Linked DNA regions of Daphnia pulex. The main gene of each other region encodes a partner of the protein of the gene in region 6 in a complex. Links are inferred from orthologs where the notes say so. Each region holds a gene or a part of one and is shown on either strand. Other genes may lie near its edges.

Evidence for each region.
Region 1: THO complex subunit 6 homolog (region 6) and SAP domain-containing ribonucleoprotein-like share a complex: the UniProt entries of both Homo sapiens proteins name them as parts of the transcription/export (TREX) complex. The link is inferred for Daphnia pulex from reciprocal best matches to the Homo sapiens genes THOC6 and SARNP.
Region 2: THO complex subunit 6 homolog (region 6) and THO complex subunit 3-like share a complex: the UniProt entries of both Homo sapiens proteins name them as parts of the transcription/export (TREX) complex. The link is inferred for Daphnia pulex from reciprocal best matches to the Homo sapiens genes THOC6 and THOC3.
Region 3: the proteins of THO complex subunit 6 homolog (region 6) and THO complex subunit 1-like are in contact, whole or in part, in a cryo-EM structure (PDB 7APK), measured with the Homo sapiens proteins. The link is inferred for Daphnia pulex from reciprocal best matches to the Homo sapiens genes THOC6 and THOC1. Residues at the interface, in NP_001334633.1 of Homo sapiens: Leu57, Ser58, Ser59, Glu60, Pro312, Glu313, Lys315, Thr330, Asn331, Gly333, Tyr334, Ala336; in NP_005122.2 of Homo sapiens: Ser227, Pro229, Ile230, Asp231, Tyr232, Leu234, Arg236, Val270, Ser273, Tyr274, Asp309, Leu312.
Region 4: the proteins of THO complex subunit 6 homolog (region 6) and THO complex subunit 7 homolog are in contact, whole or in part, in a cryo-EM structure (PDB 7APK), measured with the Homo sapiens proteins. The link is inferred for Daphnia pulex from reciprocal best matches to the Homo sapiens genes THOC6 and THOC7. Residues at the interface, in NP_001334633.1 of Homo sapiens: Asp229, Trp232, His245, Thr252, Gln268, Asp269, Gln284, Leu285, Ser286; in NP_079351.2 of Homo sapiens: Lys110, Arg113, Lys114, Gln117, Glu118, Ala121, Leu122, Val125.
Region 5: the proteins of THO complex subunit 6 homolog (region 6) and THO complex subunit 5 homolog are in contact, whole or in part, in a cryo-EM structure (PDB 7APK), measured with the Homo sapiens proteins. The link is inferred for Daphnia pulex from reciprocal best matches to the Homo sapiens genes THOC6 and THOC5. Residues at the interface, in NP_001334633.1 of Homo sapiens: Val5, Pro6, Ala8, Val9, Pro10, Leu11, Gly12, Gln13, Val16, Phe17, Leu20, Gln21, Leu23, His24, Met25, Thr26, Phe28, Tyr45, Tyr80, Asp94, Glu125, Val126, Pro127, Glu128, Asn130, Gly146, Tyr170, His172, Glu188, Trp222; in NP_001002877.1 of Homo sapiens: Pro406, Gly407, Asp538, Ile539, Val540, Asp541, Ala542, Gly543, Leu544, Ser575, Ile576, Ser593, Asp596, Arg599, Glu602, Gly603, Asn606, Val607, Tyr609, Arg660, Phe662, Arg663, Gly664, Pro665, Ser666, Arg667.
Region 7: THO complex subunit 6 homolog (region 6) and chromatin target of PRMT1 protein-like share a complex: the UniProt entries of both Homo sapiens proteins name them as parts of the transcription/export (TREX) complex. The link is inferred for Daphnia pulex from reciprocal best matches to the Homo sapiens genes THOC6 and CHTOP.

Annotation. Positions count from the first base shown.
Region 1 is NC_060024.1:915,590-918,719, reverse strand, and holds SAP domain-containing ribonucleoprotein-like, read left to right. Parts: upstream 1-1,177; 5' UTR 1,178-1,314; coding exon 1,315-1,335; intron 1,336-1,487; coding exon 1,488-1,581; intron 1,582-1,653; coding exon 1,654-1,721; intron 1,722-1,779; coding exon 1,780-1,889; intron 1,890-1,956; coding exon 1,957-2,281; intron 2,282-2,342; coding exon 2,343-2,522; 3' UTR 2,523-2,630; downstream 2,631-3,130. UniProt on the Homo sapiens protein: Binds both single-stranded and double-stranded DNA with higher affinity for the single-stranded form. Specifically binds to scaffold/matrix attachment region DNA. Also binds single-stranded RNA. Enhances RNA unwinding activity of DDX39A.
Region 2 is NC_060028.1:7,657,440-7,661,047, reverse strand, and holds THO complex subunit 3-like, read left to right. Parts: upstream 1-1,232; 5' UTR 1,233-1,686; coding exon 1,687-1,866; intron 1,867-1,933; coding exon 1,934-2,090; intron 2,091-2,150; coding exon 2,151-2,355; intron 2,356-2,421; coding exon 2,422-2,583; intron 2,584-2,659; coding exon 2,660-2,912; 3' UTR 2,913-3,108; downstream 3,109-3,608. UniProt on the Homo sapiens protein: Component of the THO subcomplex of the TREX complex which is thought to couple mRNA transcription, processing and nuclear export, and which specifically associates with spliced mRNA and not with unspliced pre-mRNA.
Region 3 is NC_060026.1:6,262,967-6,267,083, reverse strand, and holds the start of THO complex subunit 1-like, read left to right. Parts: upstream 1-1,317; 5' UTR 1,318-1,433; coding exon 1,434-1,475; intron 1,476-1,555; coding exon 1,556-1,638; intron 1,639-1,699; coding exon 1,700-1,992; intron 1,993-2,194; coding exon 2,195-2,417; intron 2,418-2,476; coding exon 2,477-2,582; intron 2,583-2,648; coding exon 2,649-2,917; intron 2,918-2,980; coding exon 2,981-3,110; intron 3,111-3,173; coding exon 3,174-3,382; intron 3,383-3,437; coding exon 3,438-3,581; intron 3,582-3,655; coding exon 3,656-3,803; intron 3,804-4,117. UniProt on the Homo sapiens protein: Component of the THO subcomplex of the TREX complex which is thought to couple mRNA transcription, processing and nuclear export, and which specifically associates with spliced mRNA and not with unspliced pre-mRNA.
Region 4 is NC_060023.1:12,053,787-12,056,734, reverse strand, and holds THO complex subunit 7 homolog, read left to right. Parts: upstream 1-1,402; 5' UTR 1,403-1,549; coding exon 1,550-1,559; intron 1,560-1,620; coding exon 1,621-1,741; intron 1,742-1,807; coding exon 1,808-2,234; 3' UTR 2,235-2,448; downstream 2,449-2,948. Other genes in the region: ataxin-7-like protein 1, read right to left, coding at 137-224; transketolase-like, read right to left, coding at 2,469-2,948. UniProt on the Homo sapiens protein: Component of the THO subcomplex of the TREX complex which is thought to couple mRNA transcription, processing and nuclear export, and which specifically associates with spliced mRNA and not with unspliced pre-mRNA.
Region 5 is NC_060020.1:6,248,670-6,252,867, reverse strand, and holds the start of THO complex subunit 5 homolog, read left to right. Parts: upstream 1-1,398; 5' UTR 1,399-1,721; coding exon 1,722-1,841; intron 1,842-1,936; coding exon 1,937-2,371; intron 2,372-2,442; coding exon 2,443-2,628; intron 2,629-2,685; coding exon 2,686-2,818; intron 2,819-2,880; coding exon 2,881-3,187; intron 3,188-3,255; coding exon 3,256-3,481; intron 3,482-3,548; coding exon 3,549-3,615; intron 3,616-3,683; coding exon 3,684-3,881; intron 3,882-3,977; coding exon 3,978-4,093; intron 4,094-4,159; coding exon 4,160-4,198. Other genes in the region: 60S ribosomal protein L13-like, read left to right, coding at 1-40, 102-260, 467-640, 702-968. UniProt on the Homo sapiens protein: Component of the THO subcomplex of the TREX complex which is thought to couple mRNA transcription, processing and nuclear export, and which specifically associates with spliced mRNA and not with unspliced pre-mRNA.
Region 6 is NC_060027.1:616,855-620,563, forward strand, and holds THO complex subunit 6 homolog, read left to right. Parts: upstream 1-1,275; 5' UTR 1,276-1,651; coding exon 1,652-1,758; intron 1,759-1,826; coding exon 1,827-2,060; intron 2,061-2,130; coding exon 2,131-2,292; intron 2,293-2,359; coding exon 2,360-2,522; intron 2,523-2,593; coding exon 2,594-2,748; intron 2,749-2,813; coding exon 2,814-2,901; intron 2,902-2,962; coding exon 2,963-3,049; 3' UTR 3,050-3,209; downstream 3,210-3,709. Other genes in the region: SEC14-like protein 2, read right to left, coding at 166-213; ubiquitin-conjugating enzyme E2 G1-like, read left to right, coding at 3,483-3,528. UniProt on the Homo sapiens protein: Component of the THO subcomplex of the TREX complex which is thought to couple mRNA transcription, processing and nuclear export, and which specifically associates with spliced mRNA and not with unspliced pre-mRNA.
Region 7 is NC_060027.1:3,847,523-3,851,030, reverse strand, and holds chromatin target of PRMT1 protein-like, read left to right. Parts: upstream 1-1,267; 5' UTR 1,268-1,423; coding exon 1,424-1,479; intron 1,480-1,647; coding exon 1,648-1,816; intron 1,817-1,878; coding exon 1,879-2,553; 3' UTR 2,554-3,008; downstream 3,009-3,508. Other genes in the region: tRNA selenocysteine 1-associated protein 1-like, read left to right, coding at 1-6, 73-223, 291-455, 518-975; protein timeless-like, read right to left, coding at 3,135-3,490. UniProt on the Homo sapiens protein: Plays an important role in the ligand-dependent activation of estrogen receptor target genes. May play a role in the silencing of fetal globin genes.

The DNA.
Region 1 (3,130 bases), on a different chromosome or scaffold from region 6:
AACGTGTATTTATCGGGGAAAAAACAAAAACAATTCCCGATAAGCTAAAAAGAGAAAATTTGACGCCATTTCAGAATGGGCTTAAAAATTGGGTCCCAAGAATAGTGAAAAAACATAAGAAAATCATTGGGCATCACTGTATATCCTTTATTACAACAGTATCCCGGGACCAGACAAATCGACTACCGTCGTGCCGTTTAACCCCCCCCCCCCAATCCCTTATTGGAAACGTGTAAAACCATAATTGTCCTCAGCAGTAAATGATATATATAGTTAAGTTGTGCGTGCCTTGAAAAAAGAAAAACAGAAATCGATTGCCTCGCACAAGTTGGATATTGCCACAGCAATTGGTGTTCTCCTTTTACCCACCTTTTACTCCTTGCCGGAATATAGCCACGTTTCTGCGAATTGGTTGTTTGTTTTTGTTTTTTTGTTTTTTTTTGTTAAAAAAGAAAGAAAAAGACGCGAAAAGACCATTGTTTTTTTCTTCCTTTGAGATGTGTCGCTCGCTACGTAAACATTGCCTACTGTCCGAAGCTGAGCGTCGTCGTGAAAGTGCTTTTTGCGCGCACGTATTTTCATGTCAAAGCGAAATACACGGCTTGAGCATTTGTCTCATTCATTATATAACTATTGCAGCTTGAACTGTTTGCTTGTCTTAAAACACGTTACTTTTTGTCACTTTCTTGTTCTTTGAGCGGGAAAAGAATCAAAAATTCAAAATTCACTACGATGTTACGATGAAATTTAAAATCATTGATTTACAATACACACACTAGTTAGTTAAGCCAATCAGTTTTACTTGGTTTATCACAAGATATTTTATGAAGTTTTTATCAAGCTCTTTAAATTAAAAAAAAAAAATTACTTTGACAATGAGTTTGATCATTTGCGATTACAGAAATAACGTAGTTGCAATGTTTTATGCGTAGCCTTTTTGTCCGAGAAACCCATCGCTTAAAATTAATTTCTCACTATTTTTTTTCAAAATCCTACCAGAGTTATCCTACGTGGCTGATTACTTTTTCGAGGGTTTTCTTTCTCATTGTTGGCTAGTAACACACTAACATGGCAACATGACTCGGACAAACTTTTTGCATTGACGATAGGTGACACTACTTTAGTACAGGATGCGCCCGATAGAGATCACTAGTTTAGAAGCCAGCAAAAGCATACGCAATTTCTCCTCTGAAACAATACACTGGCATTCAAAAGTCGAATTACTTTCAAGTTACCGCGTTGCGCGTTCCAATTGTAATTCATTGAAAGTTTGAGACGCCGGTACAGACAAACGTCATCATTATCATCACAATCATGGACATCTCTAAATTAAAAGTAACCCGCTTAACTTTATATTTGAGTGAAACTTGTCAATATTTCCAACTTAGAATCCTGATTGAGTTTGTCAAATCAAATGTCTATTATGTTTTTGAACTAGTGATAGGCCTACTGTGTGCATTTCATCTTGACTGTTGTTTTCATGCTAGGTTGTGGACCTTAAAAAAGAGTTAAAAACACGAGGCCTCAGCACCATTGGCACTAAAAATGAATTGATGGAAAGACTGCAAGATGCTGTGCAAGGTAAACTTTTATCATTTTGATTATTAAACTGTTTCCATGTTTATGTTCAAGCTTTTTTCCGTGGATGTTAAGATGACGATACTGGAGATAATGGCGCCTTAGACAATGATGACCTTTTGGATGAGGAGGCAGTTTTAGCAGTAAGAACATTGGTTTTATACAATGTGATAAACTTATGCAATTTTATTTTTGGTATAGGATGAAGAAGCTATTTTAGAGGAAGGAAATGCAAATTTGATCGCCCAAGAAGATGATGCAGTTCTTTTAACACCTACTGCATTGAGTGCCCCCAAAGTTACAGTTGAAAAGTTAGTTACTCTGTTTGTTTGGAAAATAATTGCCTCAAGATTAATGATGAAATGAATAATATTTCAGGACTGTTCAGGACTCGAAGAATGAAATAGTTTCTCCCCATAAAAAAATCATCTTGAACAGAAAGGTGGTAACTCCTCCATCAGATTCTGGCACAGTTTCACAGGAAAATGACGACCACCTTAAATATGATGCCAATAAAGGTGATGAATCTGACTCAAAGGAAGAAAAGAAGGTGATTAAACTTGGTTCCTTATCTGCCGAAGAAAGAGCCAAACTAAGAGCACAGAAATTTGGTGTTCCTATTCCCGATTCTGTGAAGAAAGCTGTTCGAGCAGAAAGATTTGGCGGTACAAATAGCACAGAATCAAACACATCAAAACCTCAGGTATTTTCGATTGATCAGCTCATCGTTCTTCGTGTTTTCATGTAGTGAATTTTTATTTAAGGTTCCTGATAATGACAAACTTCTGAAAAGGCAAGCTCGCTTTGGCGTCGTTTCTAATTCTAATTCCGAAGTTGATGAGAAGAAACAGAAGCGAGCAGAGAGATTCGGAACTACGAGCACTGCGGTCGGCAGTTCTGACGAACAGAAGCGCAAACGTGCTGAACGTTTCGGACTTGCCTGAAATGTTCGTTTTAAAGTTTATTAATTGACGTACAGTTAAATGAAACAAAGACTTGGTTCGATCACAAAATTTTTAGTTTTTTAAAATTAAATGTGACCTGATTTCTTATCCCGATAAAAAAAAAAATACTAATTTGGTGTATACTTGAAACACATTTTCTCATGGGTCCGAGTTAGGTTGGTCGGCGGAGTTGTTTTGTTTCTAGTTTGTAATTGAAATAACCTGATATGTTGGTGCGCAATTTCACTTGATTTTATAAAGAAAAGAGCAGCATGAAACAAAGAGATGAAATTTAGTGAGGGAGTTCTAGGCTAGTGGCAAGTCGAAGGGAGTAGCGGTTTAGGTTAATGTAGAAAATTCAAGTTGGAAGGGAAATAATCGTGCAAAGGTAATAAGCAACCCGCCACTAATAAAGTGTGGGTTCAAAACCCTCACTATGTAGTGTAGGACGCTTTTTTAGAAATCTGGAAAGAGACAGCATGGTCCTATACCATGAGGGACAGGAACAGTAAGTAAGTCCCCTGTACTACAAAAGCATATTACAACTCAAATGCTGCAATAATAGGCTATAATATTTTTTTCTCTACGCGATTTTACTAGATATTCGG
Region 2 (3,608 bases), on a different chromosome or scaffold from region 6:
AATGCCTATTGTAATAGAAACTCTCCTATATATATTATATACTTAATGTTACAACACACACAGCAGAGCTGCCCTGCTGTATTTATATATATATATATCCGCGTTGTAAATCACCGGGATATATATAACGGGCCAGCGGGTCCAATCTCCATAAAGTGTCGAGGCACACCAGCAACAAAAAAGCGTATCATCGGAATCGTATTACCCTATAGACGTTTTCATTTGAAGGGGAGAAGGAAGAGTTTTAAATAAAATAGAAGGAAAAAAAACCCTTTTTTTTCCTTTATTTCTTATATATTTTTATTTTACTACTCTTTGGGTATAGGCCAACGAGACGAGTCCAGTGACCAGCCAAAAGGTCCAGGGAAAGAGAGAGAAAAAGAATCTTTTTGGGCAAAACGAAACGAGACGTTCGCAGATTTACGACTGCGATATGTTATTACGCACACACGGGACCGATTGGCTATCAAAATAGAAGAAGAAGAAGAAGAAGTTCTTTTGGTGTGTGTAATGATGGAGAGAGCAGCCAAAGAAAAAGGAGGTCCAGTAGGAGCATCAGCAGCAGCCCAGGCCAGGCCAGGCCACAAGGCGCGCTTGGACGCCCAGTCGCTTTTATCGTCAGTTAACGGGCAAGAAATTTGCTTATTTTATGGCCGTCTTCTTTTTCTTTTCTCTCCTAGAAGAAGAAGAAGAGGGGGACTCGTAAATTTCCCTTTTTTTTCTCCTTACTACCCCCGCTCTCTTCTTCCATCGACTATACAGCTGTAAATTCTTGTAAAGTCGATGCTAACTCGTTAGTCGTTAGCGTTATATAGAAGCCGTTCTGGTTGTAGTTGTTGTAGATGTCTTATGTGCTGTGTGCCGGCGCTGTGGGTCCAGCATGCACTGGCAGAGAGAGACTACGACTTTTTGTTGCTTTATATTACCCCGATGCCCAAACACGGATCATTTGATGATTGCGCGCTGTGAAAGAAAGAAAAAAAGAACAAAATATAAGAAAACTGAAATCTATATAGTCGTAGTTTTTGAAGAAACGGGCATAGCTGCTGCTGCTGCTGCCCATCCCAGTTGATTTGGACTCGGTTCTTTTGGCTTTGGCGCATATTATTGCCGTGTAGATATATATATATTTATCGGACGTGTAATAACATTCAAAATGGCGCAAGCTCCACAGCTATAGTTTATATGTGTAGCTGGGACTTGGGAGAGAGAGTATAATATTCATGCAGCTAGATCTCGTCTGATAGAGGCTGGACGCCCTTCGCTTGTTGAGTTCATTGTGTGTGTGTGTGTGTGTACTAGTCACGCTTGATTACGGTGTGTGTCCCGTGTTTGGTAACAAAAGCATTTCCACCTATCCGCCCACCCTACGCCTTTTTTATTTTATTTTTGTTATTTTGGGCCAGCCAGTCGATAAACGTATCGTTTAACGTCCGACTAATCAGAGCCAATTGAGGAGACGACATTACCACCACGCATTCCTTGCCCGACCCCTTTTTTCTTTTATTAGTGAGTTAGGAATTTCAAATTTCGCGCTCCAACTGCCATCTGGCGGATGAAGAAGAGACTTGGCATTGGAAATGGCGGGACGACCGGCTTCGCGTTAGTTCGTCTGCACACACTGTGTTTTGTTGACACGCGAGTAAAGGTATATAAACCGCTTTTTTTTCCCGAAATTATAAGAAGATGGCAGTCGCCGAATTGGAAGAGCTGAAAAATCATTTTAAAACGCACACTCGAACGAGGGAAGTCTCTGCACATTCGGCCAAGGTTCACACGGTTGATTGGAATTGCGATGGAAGACGGTTAGCGTCGGGTTCCTTTGACAAGACGGTGTGCATTTTTACTATGGAAAGCGACAGACTGGTTAGTATTAGTCCCGGCTTATCAATCATGCAGCAATTATAATGGAGCTTGAGGCATTCTGTTTCAGGTTAAGGAGCAAACGTTTGTGGGACACAATGACAGTGTCGATCAGCTATGTTGGCACGAAACCAATCCTGATTTGCTCAGCACCGCCAGTGGAGACAAAACCATGAGAGTTTGGGATGCAAGAGTTAAAAAGAGTGTCGCCACAGTAAACACCAAGGGTACAATTAATTACGAAATTATGCTTAAACATTCAATCCTTCATTAATGTGATTTGACAGGAGAAAATATCAACATCACGTGGTCACCTGATGGAAATTCCATTGCAGTGGGAAATAAGGAAGACCTTGTTACTTTTATTGATGCCAGGAATTTTAAGATTAAAATAGAACATCCGTTCAAGTTTGAAGTCAACGAAATAGAATGGAACAAGGCTAGCAATCTTTTCTTTTTGACTAGTGGGCAAGGCTGCATCCACATATTAGAGTAATGATGAATTTTCTTCCCCCTGCTTTCAATCTAGCATGACGCTATCAATTCTCTTGTATCTAGTTACCCAGAGCTTACGACCGTTCACGTCACACAGGCTCACCCCGCCAACTGCATTTGCATCGAATTCGACCCCACTGGACGGTACTTTGCCACTGGGTCGGCCGACGCCCTAGTCTCTCTGTGGGATGCCGATGAAATTGCTTGTTTGCGCACTTTCTCCAAGTAACATTAATGCCAATAATAACGTGCCGTTTTCTATTGAGGTTATTCAATTACTGACTGGGTGTTTCCCCTTTAGGTTGGATTGGCCAGTTCGGACATTGAGTTTCAGTCACGATGGGTCCATGTTGGCGTCCGGGTCAGAGGACTTGCTGATCGACGTCAGCCACGTAGGTACAGGCGAGCGCGTTATCAGCATTCCAGTTGACACGCCAACCTTCACAGTCGCCTGGCATCCACGCTCTCACCTGCTGGCCTACGCCTGTGACGATAAAGACGACGGAAACAGAGACGCCGGAACTGTGAAGCTCTTTGGTCTCTCTAACGAGTGATGGGCCCATACGAATCAAAACTAGGAGGTCTCGTGTTTTATACAGAATCCAGCTTTTTTTTTTTTATTTTTTCACTTGCAGATTTTCTTGTTTACTCTTGTCAAGAACTATTTGCCAAGCTTACAAACTTCAACTGTGTTGAGAGAGATACAAGTAAAATGGATCTCAGATCAGAGATCTTTTCCAGAAAACTGAATTGTTCCAGGACACATTTTCCCTTTTTTTTAACGTTCAAACATAATTAATTACTCAATAATAATTTTCGTTATTACTAGATCCCATATTTGTTAAAAGGTGATGACCGTTCGGCACAAATTTTTAGTCAATAATGAAAAAAACAGGGCGTTAACGTTTAAAGAAATACGACGCTTTTATGCAAGCAGTCCATCTAGGTAAGACTTATTCCTATCCTTATTCTATTACTAAAGGCAAATTAATTTAAGTTGTCGTGATAATAAGCATATTTCGTAGAAACAGATAGATTGATAGTTTGTGTTACATCATACGTGCCGTTGATTATGTACAAGGCTAAAATGTCGTTTGATATTTCGTAACGGTAGTTGGTAAACACTAAACACACACACCCATATATAGGCAGCAAAGCGGCACATAGACGAATGTATCGTTTTGCTCGAGTAGATTCATGTTCATTGTTCTCCGCAGCTAGAACGTGAAATACTCGGAATGCTTCTCGTG
Region 3 (4,117 bases), on a different chromosome or scaffold from region 6:
GAAGTTGAGAAATTTTGATAGCAAACCGGGGAAAAAACCAACTTTTTGTCAATTTTGATACTTCAAAGTACAAGTACATCTTGGCATTTTGCCCTGGAGACAGCGTTGTGACTGTTTTGTTTGCGTACTTTAGCTTGAGATATAGTAATGTTTTGCGAGTTATCCTTTACTCCCATCAATTGTTACTAGCCAATGCAGAGAGTAAATAACCCAAGATAATTACATTAAAGGCTTGACAAAGAGTTATTGTAGCCAGCAAATAAAAAACAAATCGACAAAGTTTTTGGCAATCATCCTTCTTCTATTCGTTCACAGGGACGATTTGAACAGAGAAAACAACTTCTTCTCATTAAAGGCTCTCAAAGCGATCGCCATCTACATGTTTAATTACAATAGAATAAGGCCTAAGGATTCGCGTTTCTTGCTTCAGCTTACGTGCCGCGTCATCTTTCGTTGATGACGTCCTGCAGTCCAAATGACACAGATAAATTGGTTTGAAATAAGTAAAATTTTATATCTTTTATCTGGTGTTTTATAATGCTACTAATAATTTCCTTTTAATTTATTCTTATTTGAGATGATCAAAGGCGAAATAGGATTTTAAAAAGTGCCACAAACGGCGGTTCCCTGCAGTAAAGAATCGATATCTCTAATCCTCTATGCCTTTTCCTGGTGCACTTCAGGAAGTAGACATAAAATCAGAGCTCGTAAGCAAACAGAGGTAGTTCAAATATAGAGACTAGAACAAGGTTATGAAATCTCGGTAGATAGTGCAGTCGATACTGTAGTTGTAATATGGCAGGCAATACCTGCCGATTTTCATAGGAAATCAAATGATAAAAGTAATACGAATGGAAGTTGAAAACATTCGAGTATTTGAATGCGCTTAAATATTGTTTAGTAGTGAAATGAGTAGCATTGGAATGCTATTGAAAATATTGAGTTCAAAAAGGCTACTTATTGTCGATTACATTAAACATGAGAAATGTCTTAAAATTAGGTAGTTTTTATATGGGAATTTTATCTTTATTAAACTCGGTGCAGTCCCGCGTTAGATGATTTTTCAAAAAAGGACTCTCTTTTGTAGAACACCATTTTTATTGATCCGTCGACTCGCCATCTAGGGGATGATAATCGAGTAACATTTTTGTATGAAAACGTCAAAACGGTAATCTCAGTCAAAACATATTCTTTGAACAGATAAATTATTTGATTATCACCGATTACTTATTAGTTAAACTTGAATGGTTTGACATTTACTTCTTTCCAGAATTTCCGCTTTCCGGGATTCGGAAAAAAAAATCAAGTTGATTTTAGAATGGCAACATTGCAATTTACAAACTTGGCAACGCAACCAAGTTTTGAAGCGTCGTCTGATCGTTTCGAAAACACGACTATTTTTATGTTTCTTACTTTGTAAAAAAACCACTGAAATGGAAATATTTGATTTTGAGAAAACTCGGTGTTCGTTTCTGGTACAGTAAAAAAATCTATCAATGAGCCATATTTGAAATAAATTGAAAAATCTTATGTCTTCTGTGTTTGGTTTCTGTAGGATTCCATTTCTGAAGCTCTTAAACTGGGTGGTCCACCCACTATCAGTGAATTACTTTCAGTTAACAATACAGCTCATCTTGGGTAAATTTAATCAAAGCAGAAAGTATTTACATATTATTGTAATTAAACATATTTATTGTAGGGAAGCTGATAAAAAAGCTGTATGGGATCAGGCGTTTAGAGACAGATTTTTGAGTGATTCCTCAAACTTTTCCATACCATTGTTTGAAAAGTTGTTGCAGTTGAGTCTGGATTGTGCAGTAGCTCTAGTATGTTCTCCAACACTGCCTGTGATTTTGCTCACAGATGCTTTTGACATCCTGTCTCTGGAAAAATGTGAGGAAATTTTCTACATGGTTGAAATGAAAGTAGCGATTTGGAAACAAGAGCTTTTCTTCAATCAGTGTAAAAATACCTTACTTCGCCTTTGCAATGGTATGTAAAGACATTTTTCCAAAATTCTAATAATGTATGACACAAATATTTATGTAACTGGATGCATCTAATTCTGTATTGATATGAATTCAATCCATTACTCTTATTTCAATGTATACCACTCTGCTAAATTCATTTACAGTGTTTCGCTTTATGTGAGTTGTGTTGCTGAAATGAATTTTATATGTATATTTTTTTTCAGATCTGCTGAGGCGCTTGTCCCGAAGCCAGAACACGGTTTTCTGTGGTCGAATTCTTCTATTTCTTGCAAAATTTTTCCCATTCTCTGAACGATCCGGACTTAACGTAGTAAGCGAATTTAATTTGGATAATTTGACGACATTTGGAGCTAAAGATGAAAGCTACGCTGCTGATATATCTGCTAATTCTGAAAAGCACAAGGATGCAATGGAAGTAGAAGAAAGGTATATATATTTGATTGACAAGTTATTGCAATATTTTTCTAAATTTTCTTGTTTTGTAGTTTGAGCTCCGACTACAATCTGTACAAAAAATTTTGGTCCCTACAAGATTTCTTTCGAAACCCTAATCAGTGCTATACGAAAATCCCGTGGAAAACGTTTTGTTTGGTAGCTAAAACATCAAGTATTTCAAGTTAAAATTTTCCATCTAACAGAAAAACAATTATTCTTTAGCATACTAGTGATGTTTTGTCTGCATTTTCTACTATCAAACTGGATGAGCGGAGAAACCGCTCTAAATGGGATGAGGCAGATGTGGCATTAAACATCGATATGAATGAAACCAGCATGAATGGTGGAAATGTCCAACAATATTTCGCCAAATATTTGACGAGTCAAAATCTTCTCGAACTTCAGCTCGGTGACTCCAACTTCAGACGTTACATTCTGCTGCAGTTTCTGATTATGTTCCAATATCTGGATTCACCTGTCAAGTTTAAACAGTTAGTTTCAATAAGTTTCATTAGTTAGACTATTTCAACCGCTTGAATTGCTTCTATTTATAGCGAAACTCACAAGCTCAACGAAGAACAAACTACGTGGGTTTCCGAGGCTATCGATCAAGTCTATCGGTTATTGAAAGATACACCTCCAGATGGCGCTTCTTTCGTCCAATCTATTCGACACATACTAAAGGTATACTGAGTTGTATAAAAGTAGTTTTAAAAAATATCATCCATCGGTGTTTGTTGGATGTAGCGGGAAGAATTATGGAGCAACTGGAAGAACGATGGCTGCCCGGAATTCCGGCCCAGCATAACCAGCTCAACCACTGATAATGATACTATAAAAGATGGTACCAATGGAGAAAAAAAGACGATCGTAGTTGGCCGACCAAGACGGCTCAAAAGAAGTCTTGGAGATCAGATTCGAGAAGCTTCAAAAAGAAATAAGTGCATTATTGGAAAGTAGGTAAATTATGAAATTATTTGAAAACATTGAATTACAGCTTTTTCTCTTTAGCGCTGAGATGAATCGTTTGTGGAATCTATGTCCTGATAACATGGCTGCCTGTCGATCTAAAGATCGAGATTTTCTACCTACATTAGAAAACTATTTTGAGGAAGCCATTGAGCAACTGGATCCTTCAGTGGAAAGCCAGTACAAGTAAAAATTTGCACTTTAAAGCTTACATTTTTCCGAAAATGTTTTAACTGAATGAGCGATTTTCGTGTTTCCAGGCGAGTTAGTGAGGCTAATTTTGGGTGGCGTGCTTTGCGGCTTTTGGCTAGACGAAGTTTACATTTCTTCACTCATGGTAATACTCCTATCACTCGGCTGCCAGATTACTTGGAAACGCACGTTCGCAAACTGGCCAAGGACATGCAGGTAGAGTAAAATCAGATGAATATCACGGTTCCCATTCTGCAATACAGGGAAAAGTCAGGGATTTAGGTTCTCATTTGGGAATATATATATATATTTTTTTTTAATATTTTGAGGTATTTTGAATTTTGTTATCGAGACTCATAACTTTTGCACGGGTTTTGCTGTTAAACAAAGATTTTGAAATAGTTGATCCAGAAGAAATACAGACGAGTTTGTTAGGTGTCAGGTAATTTTTCACATTCATTTGTCTGGAAATCCCTGGATAATCTTGATATATTACTGGTTTTGTAGTTGGCTTATTCAAATAATATGAT
Region 4 (2,948 bases), on a different chromosome or scaffold from region 6:
TTTTATTTTGACAATTTAAACAGCCGTCCATCGAGATAGGCCGAAGCCGTACCGATTCGATAACACCATCAAAACAATTTTCACAAAATATCCGTTAGCTATCAAGAAAAGACAACTTATAAGGCAATTTACTCACTTAATGGACTATCTCTGCCTAATCTATCAGCCCAAACAGACCAAGGCTGGCCATGAAGACTTGTTGGACTGTCATCGTTGGACGCCATCTTTGTTAACAGAAAATTTTTTCTTAATTTCTCCTCTCCGAGACTCCGTCTTCTTTCCTCACCTGCAACAGCGTTGCAACTATAGTGAAAGCAGCTCGGCAGCTACCACTGCCCTTGATGCCTTGCCTCCTCTAATTACTCTATGGCATTAACACCCATTGGACTATTTCAAAATTACCTTTAATATAGTACTTGTATATTTTTCCTAGAATTAAAAAATGCGTTGCGTTTCTTTGCCACTTGAAGACCTTAATGTGTAAGCGTACTAAAGTTGTTGATTCTATTCGTTGGCAATTTATGAAATTTTATGATGATTTAATGATGAAATTATCTTCTAGCGAAACGTTCTAGCAATAATTTAAATCCTCAATCGTCCGTCTATTTTTTTTTTAATTTTGGCAAAAGATTTTATGCATTGCGGAACTCAAAAAGTACATTTTTCTTTGCGCTAAGTATCTTTTTACAATTTTCACACATGGACTGCAACAAGTATGACTATGAGAACAAGCTGCACATAATCATAATGACATCAACTGATAAACACATATGTGAAAATTCCCCATTGAGGTACCAAATCTCTCTCAACTCAGTTATTTTATATTACCAACCAATCAACCATCTGACATCTTGACAAATACAACCATTAATTGACATGCACCTTTTATACTTACAAATAAATGTTGTTTGTAAGTATCTTGCACCCAAAATTATTTTTTCACTGTCAGTTACACACCTGTTTAAAATGAATCTGTCAATCTTGATCACCAATCTCAATTTTCAGGACAATAAAAACAGGTTTTCCTAGAATGTAAGGCAACAGTTTAATTAAAAAGAAGAGATTGACGTTAATCTGGAAACGAGAAAAACAACACTCCAGATCCAGCATTTCATTGGATTCTTTCCTTGACATCACCTGATTGATTCTAAACCGTTCAATGGTTTCCCAAGTATATTGCTGATCTGCTGGACTAGCTCTCTTTCGGTTTTGCTAATGTTTATACAGGCATGCAAGTTTAACCCTAAACAAAATAGATACCTAATCAATCGGATGATTTTTTAAAAAGCCATGTCTCCTTCCTTTCATTTGAGGGGCGTGTCGTCTGCTGGCGGATTTAAAAAACAAAACAAAAGACGAGCGAACTACGCTTACGGCAGACGAAAATATTTTTTCATTTTTCAGTACTTTCCGGCGTTTCCGCAGCGACATTTCTCCTAGGTTTGTCATCTCATTCTTTCGCCCGGTTTGACATCTCAATATTCTCAAAGCTTTACCAGTTAAATTGTATTATTATTGGTCTTATTTTGATCCCAATCATTATTCACAAATGGGAGATGGTAATTTGACTTGTTAGTAATATTATTTCGGTTAATTTTCATCTTGTACTTCGTTATGTAGAAGAGATCATCCGAAGGAGGCTGTTGTTTGATGGCGAAGGAACTGGTGATGAAAGAAGACTTAATGTATTGCTTAAAGGTTTCCTAGCTTGGTGCAACTCTACAGATAGTGTTGAAGAAACGTAAATTAATCTTTGTATAAAATTCTTCTATACTCTATATGTGATGTATTTTTATTTGTTTTACAGACAAGCATCCTACGCTAGAATGATTGGTCAGATTGCCCAATGTGAATTTGCTGCCACAAAATCCTTGAGGTGCTGTGAAATGAACACTGCAGAACAGCAGCACTATGACGACCTCTACAACCAGATTGAAGAAGGAATTGTGTCAGCTAAAAAAGACATTGAAGCAACCAAGAAGGAGTTGCAAGAAGCAAGACAGATTCGCAGGAATAAAATGGAATATGATGCTTTGGCTGCCATTATTCAAACACAGCCTGATCGAAAGAGCAACCAAGAGAAATTATCCCTATTGCGACAGGAACTGGAAGCTTCAGAATGTGAATGTCAAAAACTGGAGGCCAAATTAGAACAAAGACGCAAACAATTTCACTTACTCATTTCAACTATCCAAGGATTACAGCAACTTCTTAACGATGATGAAGCATCCTAATAATTGTTCATTTTGTATGCATCCCTTTTTTCTATTTTTGAATAATAATGCTAACAAATAAAAATCATTTGAAACACCAAAAAAGCTATGTATGAATAAACTATCCAAACGGTACATATACGACTTGGAATGCCATAGAAGAATGTTTCAAAAAACACCACCAATTCTTCTCAACTATCCATAGACCTCTGGTAAGGAATGGGTATAGGAATGAGTGACTTAAAAAAAGGGCGTTTACAACGCAACAAGTTTTTTCGCGGCTTCGGCAATAGCCTTGGCGCCGATTCCAAAATGTTCTAGGAGAACCTCTGGAGGACCGGAGCGGGGAACTTCGCGAACTGCCAAAATCTTGACGATAATATTTCGTTGTTCGGCTAGAGTTGAAGCAACAGCCTCACCCAATCCACCTTCTGGGTAATGGTCTTCAACGGTCAAAACCCGGCCGTTGCAACGAGTGGCTTCCTTCAACAGCAAATCGTGATCAATGGGTTTGATGGTAAATGGATCGATGACAGCAGCCTTGATGCCGGCTTCCATCAGCATGTCGGACGCCTTCAGCGCTTCGTGGAGTGTAACGCCGGCGCCAACGATAACCAAATCGTCTTGATCGTGACTACGAACAACGTGACCCTTTCCAGCAGAGAAAACTTGTTCGTTCTCGTAGATGACGGCTGTGTTGGGGCGAGATGTACGAATGAAGCAAATTCCTTTGGT
Region 5 (4,198 bases), on a different chromosome or scaffold from region 6:
CAAACAGTGGCAGCGTTATGTCAAGACTTGGTTTAATCAGGTACATTTCTTTTAATATGTGTGTTGAATGTGTGCTTTACAGTAGTGTTTCATCTTTACAGCCAGCTCGCAAGCAGAGGAGGCACGCACACCGTGTAGCCAAGGCTCGTCGTGTGTTTCCTCGTCCAACGACTTCATTGAAGCCCATCGTCAGGTGCCCGACTTTCCGGTACAACACTCGTGTTCGTGCTGGAAAAGGATTCAGTTTGGAGGAATTGAGGGTAACATATTTACTATTAATGTATCATGTTTTGAATTGTGGAAATTATGACAGACACGACTCAAATCAAACTGCAAATTGCTCTGGTTTCATTGTCGAAGAGTTAAATAATCCATTTGGTTTAGTGTAGCAAATGTTTTATTATGCCATATGCTCCAAAGTTTTATATATTAATGTGATCATTTTTATTTGAATTTTTTGTTTTAGGCTGCCAAGATCCCTAAGCGTTTCGCCCCAACAATTGGTATTGCTGTTGACCACCGTCGTCGTAACAAGTCTGTGGAATCATTGCAGTTGAACGCCACTCGCTTGAAGGTCTACAAGAGCAAGTTGATCCTCTTCCCACGCAATGCCAAGAAACCCCAGAAGACTGATGCTACTGTAAGAATTGTGACAAGGATTGTGTACCACCACTTTACAATAACATTATGTTTTATTTCAGCCTGAGGAAATCAAGTTGGCCCAACAGTTGACTACTGAGGTTATGCCCATCACCAGGTCTTACAAATTGGAGAAGGCTCGCGCCATCACTCCGGCCGATCGCAAATTCTCTCCTTATGCTGTACTCCGCACGGCCCGAACAACAGCACGCCTTGCAGGTATCCGAGCTAAGCGAGCTAAGGAAGCGGCTGAAGATCCTGAAGCAGCCAAGGAGGCAAAGGCTAAAGCCGCCAAAGCCAAGGCTGCCAAGGGTGGCAAGAAGAAGTAAACCGTTCTCGGGATTGTATTTTGTATTTCAACCAAAAACGGCAAAAATACAAGATTATCCTGTCTATAATGTGTCAGACGTACGTCGAATTGCCTCAGTTCTTACAGCTTATTTGGTGGAAAACTTTCGTAAAAGTCAGACATAAGAAAGGCAAAAGTTTGAAACCTTTTTAAAATATTCACAAACATAACCCACAGTAGTTTTAACATGATTTATAGGTATAAGGTGTCATTTTGCTTGAATACCAATTATTAATCCTTAAATGGGAAGGATAAAATGTATAACAGGAAAATTGCATACTTGACGATCCCTTTGAGATAATTAGTGATGTCTATATCTCAACTCATGGTTAGAGAAATGAAATGTTGGTGGTTGAATATTTTTAAGCTATCGGGAAACTCCCTTACTCATGTAAAGGTAATGTTAAACGGTTAGGTCCTCTTTCTAAATCATTGATACAATGCGCAGTCCTTTCAAGATTAAGAGTATTGTTTAAAATTTCAATTTATTTAAAGCAAGGTTCCAGGACTCGGGCTATTTTCCTATTTTCTTTGATAAAGCCTGATAAAGCTAAAAGAAAATTTTAATTTTAACGGAACTAGTTCTTAAAATTACCGCTACGTGTACCCGTTTAAGAATAAAAAGATTCAACACGTTATACAGTTTTGTCGGCCTTGCATATAGTAGACGTAGACAAGACTTATTTAACATAGTAAACTGGTAAACGGAACAAGCTTGGAAGCGGTATTAACAATGTCTAAACCTTCCAAAACTAAAAGAAGTGACTCCGAATCTATTAAACAAGATCCCAAAAAAAGCAAAAATGATGTTTCATCTATGGCAGCAGCAAGTAAAGTGAAGGAATTTTGCAAGGTACTTGTTACTTAATTCTCTTAACTTTGGTTAGATTTTTTATTGGGTAAATGATATAGTGCTGAATTTAACTTTTCATTTGCATGATTTTCTAGAATTTCATGGACATTGAAGACAAGGAAGTTGAATCCCGGACAGGGGAAAGTGACTTGAAAATATTCAAAGAAACATGTTGTGAATTAAAAAGATTGATGACAGACATTTTACAATTGAAAACATCTGGAAAAACCGATGAAGAAACCAGTAAAAAGATCATTGAAAAAAGAATAGAAGCTTCTCTTTTGTTTGTAACATTGAAGAAGTTAAATCGAATAGACAAGCTTAGATTGAAAAAGGCAAGGGATACAACCCATGATGCCAAGCAGCGTGTGGATACATTTCATTTACAACTAGAAAATCTGCTGTATGAAGTCTTTCATCTGAAGAAAGAAGTGGACAAGTGTTTGGAGTTCAAGTCTAAAGATGAGGACATTGAACTTGTTCCTGTTGAGGAGTTTTATCAGGAGGCCCCAAGTAGCATTTCTAAAATGGTATGAAAATCTACCTATTGTTTACCAACCACTACCAAAAAGTATTCTTATTTTGTTTTCTTTACATTTAGGAATTGACCAAAAGTAATCAACACAAATTGACTTTGGCTCGGTTGGAATGGGAATTTGAACAACGGAAACGTCTTTCGGAACAGTGCCGTAGTCTGGAACAAAATCGAGAAAAGGCATCCAGTGAAATCAGTCAGAAACAAAAACAACTTGAAAGCCTGTTACCCAGACTTACTTCCATACTTGAGGTAATTAAGTGATACAAAATCTAAAAGAATTTGATTTTAATATTTATGTTTCGAAAGTCCACGCGACCCTTACAAGAAGAGCTTAATTTGCCTGTAGAGCGAATCAAGTTTCAGAAAGAGTTGGCTGTGTTATTACCGGATCCACTTTACATTTTGTACAGTCAGATAAAAGCGTTCATTGAAGCATGCGGTAATTTTATTAAATTCGTAAGTTTTCTTAATCGTTACGATAAATATGACTTTAACCCGCAGATCCGTCATTGCAAATTTCTATCGAAGGTGGAATGGAAGATGCTATTAATTTTGGGTCAAAGAATAAAACTGGTTTGGACGAAATTCTCGAGGATGTTGATTCAGCGGAATCTGACATGGAGACGGAATATGAAACAAACAAACGCTCCGCGACTTCAAATAAAATGAAAACAGATTGGCAATTGACTAGGCATCCTTTACGTATTCAACTTAAGATTGAACGCGTTGTCCTTAACTTCACGTATTTAACAACATTAAATATCGTCACGGTCGACTGCAAGCCCGTTCAGCAAGACGATGGAGTAAAGTAAGATTATATTATTGCTTTCTTTCTATATGTCGAAATGTCTTTTAAAAAAGTCTTTCTCTTACTAGTCAGATTTGTATGATCGATAATCTCCTTTCCGGACTTTTTCCAAACGACCATGGGGATGAATCGCCCAGTTGGGTCAATTGTTTTCAAGCAAGGTCTATGATCAACGGTAAAATAACTGAACAAGGAAAACCTTACCTTTGGGCCCAACGTTTAGCTGGGTTAGATTTCAACGGCATCGTAAAATCGACACCTCAATCTTTCATCAACACGGAATTCGTTGAAACGGTCTCTATAATTTTTTAAACAACAATAACATAGTAAAACAAGAATAACCGTGTTTACTTGTATTTAGGTTATTCTTGCCCTAAAAAGTAGGATTACTTATCGTTTCCAGTTTGTTAAGGTTTTACACTTACTTGGTGAGTCTTATTTCATACTTGTTATAAAACAGTTTTAAAATATGCATAGTTTCTTTAACATTAAACAGAAAAGGGTGAACTTGATCTCAATCAAGACTCAAATGCTACTTTTCCACCAACAATCTATTCTCGACTCGTCTCATGGACGTCTTCTACGTATGAAGAATGCCTCGTAACGTCAAAGAACCTTGAACGGCTGTTGAACTTCCTTGAAGTAAATCCAAAAAGCCTTTCGTTTTACAAAGCAACTCTTGAAAGAGAATCCGGTATAGTTGTAAAATATTTTAAAATTTAATTTCTGTTAAGGATCCTGTATGATGAATTTAATTATTATTGGAACCTTTTTTGTATTTGAATTCCAGCAAAACTACTCGCGATGTTCATGGTTCCTGTAGACTACCCGAACTCTACACCAATTTGTTCACTTGAACTTAACTGGAATGGAAAGCACAATAGAGAAAATAGTGAAATTATACGCGTATGTATTATAGCTAAAACTTTTCGTCTTCGGTTTTGTGATATTTTACGTAATTTTTAAAAATAGAGAATCGAAGCGGAGGTTAACGTTCCCAGTACTGAACTT
Region 6 (3,709 bases):
GGTTGGAATTTAAAAAGCTTGCCACAGCTTTCTCTGCCACTCACATTGTTACCTCATTCTATCTTTGATTAATACACTATCCGCGTTCAGCGTGGCGAAATTTCAATACTGGCGAAAATTTAACCTTCGTCTATTATTACAATTAAAAAAGACGATTTTAAATACCTGGTCGAATAAGTTTCGTTTCTCTGGGCTTAGTTGTGTAAGGTCCATGACCGAGAGAAAAGAGAAATTTTCCTCTCGGAATAGTAGAAAGAAAGAAAGTCCCGAGATCCGTATGTTAGATTGCGCGGCTCAACTGGAACTTTTCGAGTTAAGAGTTAAACTTTTTGATCGTTTTGACACTTTCAATTGTCAAAACATGGTGTTGGCTGTTTGTTGGGTTTTAACTCGACCTAATAGTTCCACTACGTCAGTTCGTGTTGTTCCACTGTGATTTCGCTTTATAAGTGCCCAGTCTGAACGAGAATAGCAGTGCGATGCGACCGATCTGTTGGGTGGTTCACACATCAAGAAGGCAAGCGAACGAATGTAGGCTAAGGCCATTAGATTTTTTGGATTCTAGCAATATTATTATCAGAGAGGAAAGCAGGTTTCCTTTCCTGGTATTTCTTCTTGCAGGCCCTCTGATGTTTACTGAATGCACTACGTGCTGTTGCCCTAGCGCTGTATTTTGCTCCCGGCGGCTTATCCCGTTAATAACAGCCTTATGTATTCACGGCGGCCTGAATTATTACAGGTTATTCAGTAATCACTCCACAAGTTTATAAACTCGTAAATTATGCGATCCGCGGGGGGATATAAACTGCAGTCAAGGTTTTCCTGAAGAAAACTTAACACACTGCTGCGCCGCTACGTCTCAGGTGTGACCAAAACACGTATCTTGGCTATCACATTTTATTATATATTTTTTTATTTGAAACATTTCACTTTTTTAAAATTGGTCTGGTTGTTCTGTGTCAAAGTCAACATCTCGAAAATAATCAAAAAGGCAAGTCTATAACAAATTTGGGGGAGTGTTTTCACACAAGTCTAGATACGGTATCATGTCTGATTCCAATAGCTGATTTCATGGGAAATCAGATCTAGTTAATCTAAGCAAATAAGATTAAACTACAAAAAGCTGAAGGGATATCGGTTTCGATTCAAGGCCCAAGGGAAGTGACGTGTAGGGAATAATGGGAATAAGTAAGTTGCGTTCAGTGTATGACAACTCATTGATGATATTCATTATATCTGAGAGTGTCCTTGATCTTATTATTTTGGTCTTTTCAAATCTGAAGTTGACCACATTAAATAACTACAGTTAAAATTTTTGAAACATCATTCAACAGCGCTTTAAATCGGTTTAGATCTTCATCGAACCAATGAAACCAAGTCGTAGTTCACATTTCTATTTGTTTTTGGCTTATTTCTCAGTTGAATTTCCCGGGTAATGGCTGAAACTGAAAAACCTTTCTCGGATTTCCGCAAATTAGTAGATATCGTAGCAGACGCTTCCGCATGGAGACCCAGAGCGCCACAAAAATCAAACTTTGCCGGTGTATATTCTTGTTTTGATTTTCAAATTAAAAGTTAAATTTACTGAGTTACAAATTCTCCGACTTCACGAATAACTAAACTGTTAAAGCAGTGATTAAAGTGCGAAAATATGCCTAACATAAAATCGTTTTACGTGACTGTCCTCTCTCAAGCCCTATCTCCTTGTGAGGAATTTCTAGCTGCTGGAACCAATTTTGGGAATGTCAACATATTTAAGTATTGAATTTATTCTTAAAATAATATTACTGAAAAAAAAAATTTTATTAACATGTATCTCTTCCTAGTATCAAAAGTTTGTATGCCGAAGATGAACAGGGTCCACGTGAAAGCCTCACATTACCACAGAAATGCTTTTCTGTCAGTACCAAACCTTTGCAAGCTATAACATCTTTAAATGATAACTTACTCGTTGGAGGCAAGAACTGTATTGAGGCATTTAGCTGGAATCAATTGGTGCTTCCACAGAATAGTGATGAGAAGGTGAAACCTTGCTGGAAAGTTGATCTTCGCTTGCCAACGTAACCATATTAGAATATTCTGATTATTACATTTATCATAATTAACTGTTGGTTTTATGTAATTTTATAGTGACTTTGGCACTAAAGAAACTGTAGATTGCATGATTAACGGTGAAAACTCAACTTTTGTTGCTTGTGGAGACAACAATATTCATCATGTAGATCTTGAATATGGGAAAGTTAAACAAACCTTCTCTGGTCATACTGATTTCATTCACTCAATGTCCCTGGTGTATGTAGATGTAGTTACAATTCAAGTTATTGCATAAAAACATTAATTACTTTTTATTGTGTGATAGTGGGAATCAGCTATCAAGTGCAAGTGAAGACGGAACAGTATGCATCTGGGATACTCGAAAATCAAAACCTAATCACGTAATTACACCACATTTGGAGTCTAAACTGAATCGACCCCATCTGGGAAAATGGGTTGGTGCTGTTGCTATGAATGAAGATTGGTTGGTAAGTCTTGTTTAAGGAAGTAATCTAATCGATGAGAAATCACTACAGTTGTTATTTGTCGCATATCATAGGTGTGTGGAGGAGGCCCGCACTTAGGACTTTATCATTTACGATCTTTGACAATGAGTAGAGTATTACTCGAAGAAGACGTCCATGGTGTTAACAACGTTATGTTTCACGAAGACAATATAATCGTCGGCGTAGATGGACCGTTTGTATACCAATGGTAATTTTTAAAAATTTAAATTTCCCCCTTGACACTAATGTGTGAGCTGGGTCAATTATTTTTAGCTTATTTTCGGGAGATATTACCGTCAAAATGCCTACAAGTCCCCTTAGAGTCTACAGTATTTGCCTCCAGAAAAAGGATGCAAATAAAGTAAAAAAATATTATGATAATGAAATGAAAAACAAATATAATCTTTGGATTGTTATATTAGTTGCTATTCGTCGGCGGATCCGGTGGAGACATTGACATTTGCACCAGTTCTAAACTACAAGATCAAGTGATTCGTTGTCTTTCATGAATTATGTATCGTCATTTGAACATTTTCATCTCGCTTGCCCTTCCATCAATTATTATACAAAAAAAAACAAAGACATCTGCCATGTCTTTAGATTAATAATGTCAAATTGTGATGTTTTATATCGAGTAATGTTCACAAGAAAATACATCGTGATAATTTATTTCTGGGTTTATTGAATCAATGTTTATTTTAGGAGTGCAATTTAAAAAAAATTAAAATTTATAAAACATGCATTGACGGCATTGACGGAGATTGGTCCGTGACCTGGCCGTGATTAAATTGATTGGCCAACAACGCGCGAGCTCTAGAGGAAGGAAGGAGATTTGGCAACGTCAAAGGCTAGGACGAAGCAAGCAACGTGCTTGGAAAGACTTCTCAACTTGAGAGAAGACTTCTCAAGTTCCTCTCAACAAATTTACGTTTTGATTTCATTATGTCCGAATTGCAGTCAGCATTACTTCTTAAAAAACAGCTAGCAGGTAATTCAGTTGTTCTTGGAACAGGTTATGTAAGATGAAGAGCGTGCGAGTCGCTGTACTTTTTATTTGTTTCACCAGTTTCACTCATTCAATGGCGTTGGCTGACGGCTTTCTTGTTTGTTATATGCTTGACTTGAAATTTTTTATCGAGTTTAAGTGTTGTTTTAACATTCGTTTATTT
Region 7 (3,508 bases), about 3.2 Mb from region 6:
CAGCCGGTAGTGTATTAACTTTTAATTTACCATAATTTATATTAGTTATATTATCTGTTTTCCCACTTTTAGCCAAGCCGTTTCAAGTTAAATCACAGCACAAACACTAAAGGTTCTACAGCCGATCATGCACTGTGGGTGGGAGATTTGAGTGCTGATGTAGATGACTATGGCCTTTACAAATGTTTTTCTGCAAAATATAACTCAGTTCAATTGGCAAAGGGTAATTTGTAAAATTTCTGTAATGATTTTATTGGCAATTATCTGAACTTCTCGTATTTTATGTTTAGTGGTCAGAGGCAGCAATGGAGAAAGTCGCGGCTATGCGTTTGTTAATTTTTCTAATGAAAGTGATTACAAAGATGCGCTGACACATATGCAAGGTCACAGAGGACTCGGCAGCAACCCACTTAGAGTTTCATTGGCTATTCCTCGTAATTACAACATGATACCTGGTAAATGCACGCTTAAACTTTTCTTTGGAGTACATTTCATTTCATACTCTTTTAACTTTTAGGATCCTCATCCAGTACATCTTCTACTTCTACGTTAACTGCATCGATTGCTTCGTCAATTGTCCAGGCCGCAGCCAGCGGCCAGCCAGTTCAACCTCAAGCTGCTGCTGCAGCAGCTGGCTACGGACAGTACGTCGATCCAGCCTATTGGCAACAGTACGGTGGCTGGCAAGGATATGGTTACCAAGGCGGATACGGCTATGATGGTCAACAAGCTTATGCCGGATATGGCGTTGCTGGGCAAATGCCTGCTCAACCTGAAGAAGATGAGTTTGAGCTCATAGAACACAATACACCCGTCGATATTGAGAAACTGAACAGAGAACTTTTTGAGCGCAATCAGGATTTGTGGGATGCACTAGATGAAGCTCGCTGGACAACATTCAATCCAGAGAAAGCCGTTCCGGCAGTTAAAGCTGAGGAAAACGGAAGCAGTACTCCTACAGTAGTGGCCGCCTAATTTCTTTTTATAAAACACTATTGACCATCTCATACGATAAAAAAACAAAGATTCATTTCTGCTTGTCATCTGATTTTGTTTTACAGAATGAATACATTGATTTCAAATAAATACAGATTTCCAATTCTTTCACTTTCTGTATTATCTAGTATATTTAATTATTGACATGATTCTACACCCATAAAACATTTCCTCCACCCACATTTTTTAAAACATGCACTCTTACTCAATCGTAAATCACGACATACTTTCTTTTTTCCGCTAGGTGTCACTTTACTACCCAATAGCAGTCGAAAAAAGTTGAGCGTCATTAGTTCACAGCCGGGCAAACATCAGCAATTGTTTTCATTGACTTCACGAGAAACATTTCTAGATAGCTCGAAATTATCTGTTTTCGGCATTTTCTTGACCGTAATTGAACTTTGGTTCAGCAGTATTCTAGCACAAAATGGCTTCAGGAGGCAGAGTACCAAATAATTCAACTTCCTTATCCTTACATGAAAGGTATAAATCATTAGGCAATTTGGGTTTGTTATGTCGTATATGCGATTGAAATAGTTGTTTGCCGCAATTTTCCCCCTGTTAAACATTGAATTTCCTTGCTTTTATAAAGTATGTGTTGATTTTCTTCTCATTTGCTGATTTTTAACGCATGAAAATTTTTCGTTACAGATTCTCCAAATTACGAAGCTCAGCAGGGGGTCAGAAATTGGCTGGAAAACTGCAAGGGGCTAGAAATAATGCAGCTAATCTTCAAAAGGCATCAAGCAAGAATAGCAGACTAGCTCAACAGATGGAAAGACGAAATGCATCAGTCAGTGCTGCTTTGAAACTGAAAAAGGTGCAATTCCTCGTTTTTAATTCATAACCAGATATACTTACATCATTTATACTGTTATTCAGAAAAGCATCAAACAACGCCTTGGAGCCACAGTAAACACCAGTACTCGATTTCGCGGAACGGCCACCCAAACTCAAAGGAGACTCACAACCAATCGTGGAGCTGGTCGCGGGAGTCAGTCGCGAGGATCTCTGCGAGGAAGTCGAACGCAAGGGCAAACGGTCACCCCAACAAAGATAATTCGAGGCCGGGGCGGACTGAAGCCCATTGTCAGCCAAACAATCGTTCGTGGCGGTGGACAAGGAAACAAGAGAAGCACTCGCGGAAGAATCATTTCTCCATCGAAAAAGCCAGCCCCCGTTGCTGCCACAACCAATCGTTCGCCGACCAAACCTTCGCGTGCTAGAGGCAGCGTGAGAGGAAGACGAGGTGGTCGAGGGCAGATGACATCTTCATTGATTACCGGGCAAGCTGAAAGTCGTATCCAGCGTGGAAGAGGAAGAGGACGAGGCCAACGTGGTGGTAAGGGACCCAGTCGTGGAGGAAGCAGCTTGCCGACATCTCCGCGCGGTCAGACATCCGGACGTGGTCGAGGGCGTGGTCGAGGTGGCTCTACCAAGGTCAGCAAAGAAGATTTGGACAAGCAATTGGATCAGTACATGCAAAAGACTCGTAGCGCTCTAGACAATGATATTGAATCCTACATGTCTAAAATTGGGGACGTTGAAATGAATTAAATATGCAATAATCTTTCTCCAGTCGTTACCTCACCTGTGCTGCTCCCCAACTTCAAACGAAAGAACCTTCTTACTAATAACTCCCCTTCGCCAAGTCTTGATTGACTATTAACAATGTTTTAGTCCTTAAAGTTAAAAGTGAATCCAATTCAGAATTTGTCTTTGAGAAAATGGTTGGACTGTTGTGAAGAGTCTAGACAGAAAAAAGAGATTTTGGACAACCTTGTCTTGATTTCATTCTAGCACTTGATTAAATGGTTCTTGTACTTTCCCCCAGTTTTTGGAGTCCCTTTTTGCCGTGTGTTTCTTGCTTTTCCCTCCTGTTACGGCGCACTTAGCACATGTATCTTTTTATAATTCATTCATATTTCATCCGAGGACTTGAGTGTGAAAAGGTGTGCCTGTGAAACGAGAAAGAGAAACTCATCCCAAAAAATACAAATGATTAACCTCAACACTAATTTGATTTTTGTTCCTTCATTTAATCGTCGCTGATCATAGACAAAATTACAACAAATTACTCTAATGATTGGCCAGCAGTAATCAAGCGGGACCGATCGAAGCTAAATTAAATGGATAAGCTACAATTTTCCTACACAACTCAAGTCGAAATCAACTTGCTGATGGGCAACGGAACCCAACGAAAGAGCAACATTGTACAGAGTGTCTGGTGACCATTCGAGTGGGATCCTTGGATAGGTGCCAGCGTTAGGAAGCGAAGGGAAAAGACCCAGTTGACGCAGAAAAAAGCGAAAGGGTTTCGAACTCAATGCGGAGGCTTCCGCTTCCGTCCAAGGGACTATCGGGCATGGCGTATTCAATTTCAAGCTCAAACAGGTAATTGGATGACGGAATTCGTGGTCGGAGTAAATGCCCAAACGTGCTGCACAGGCCGTCAATAAAGACGACTGAATCCAATCGAGTTGTTTCTGAAATCCTATATTTATCGATACAT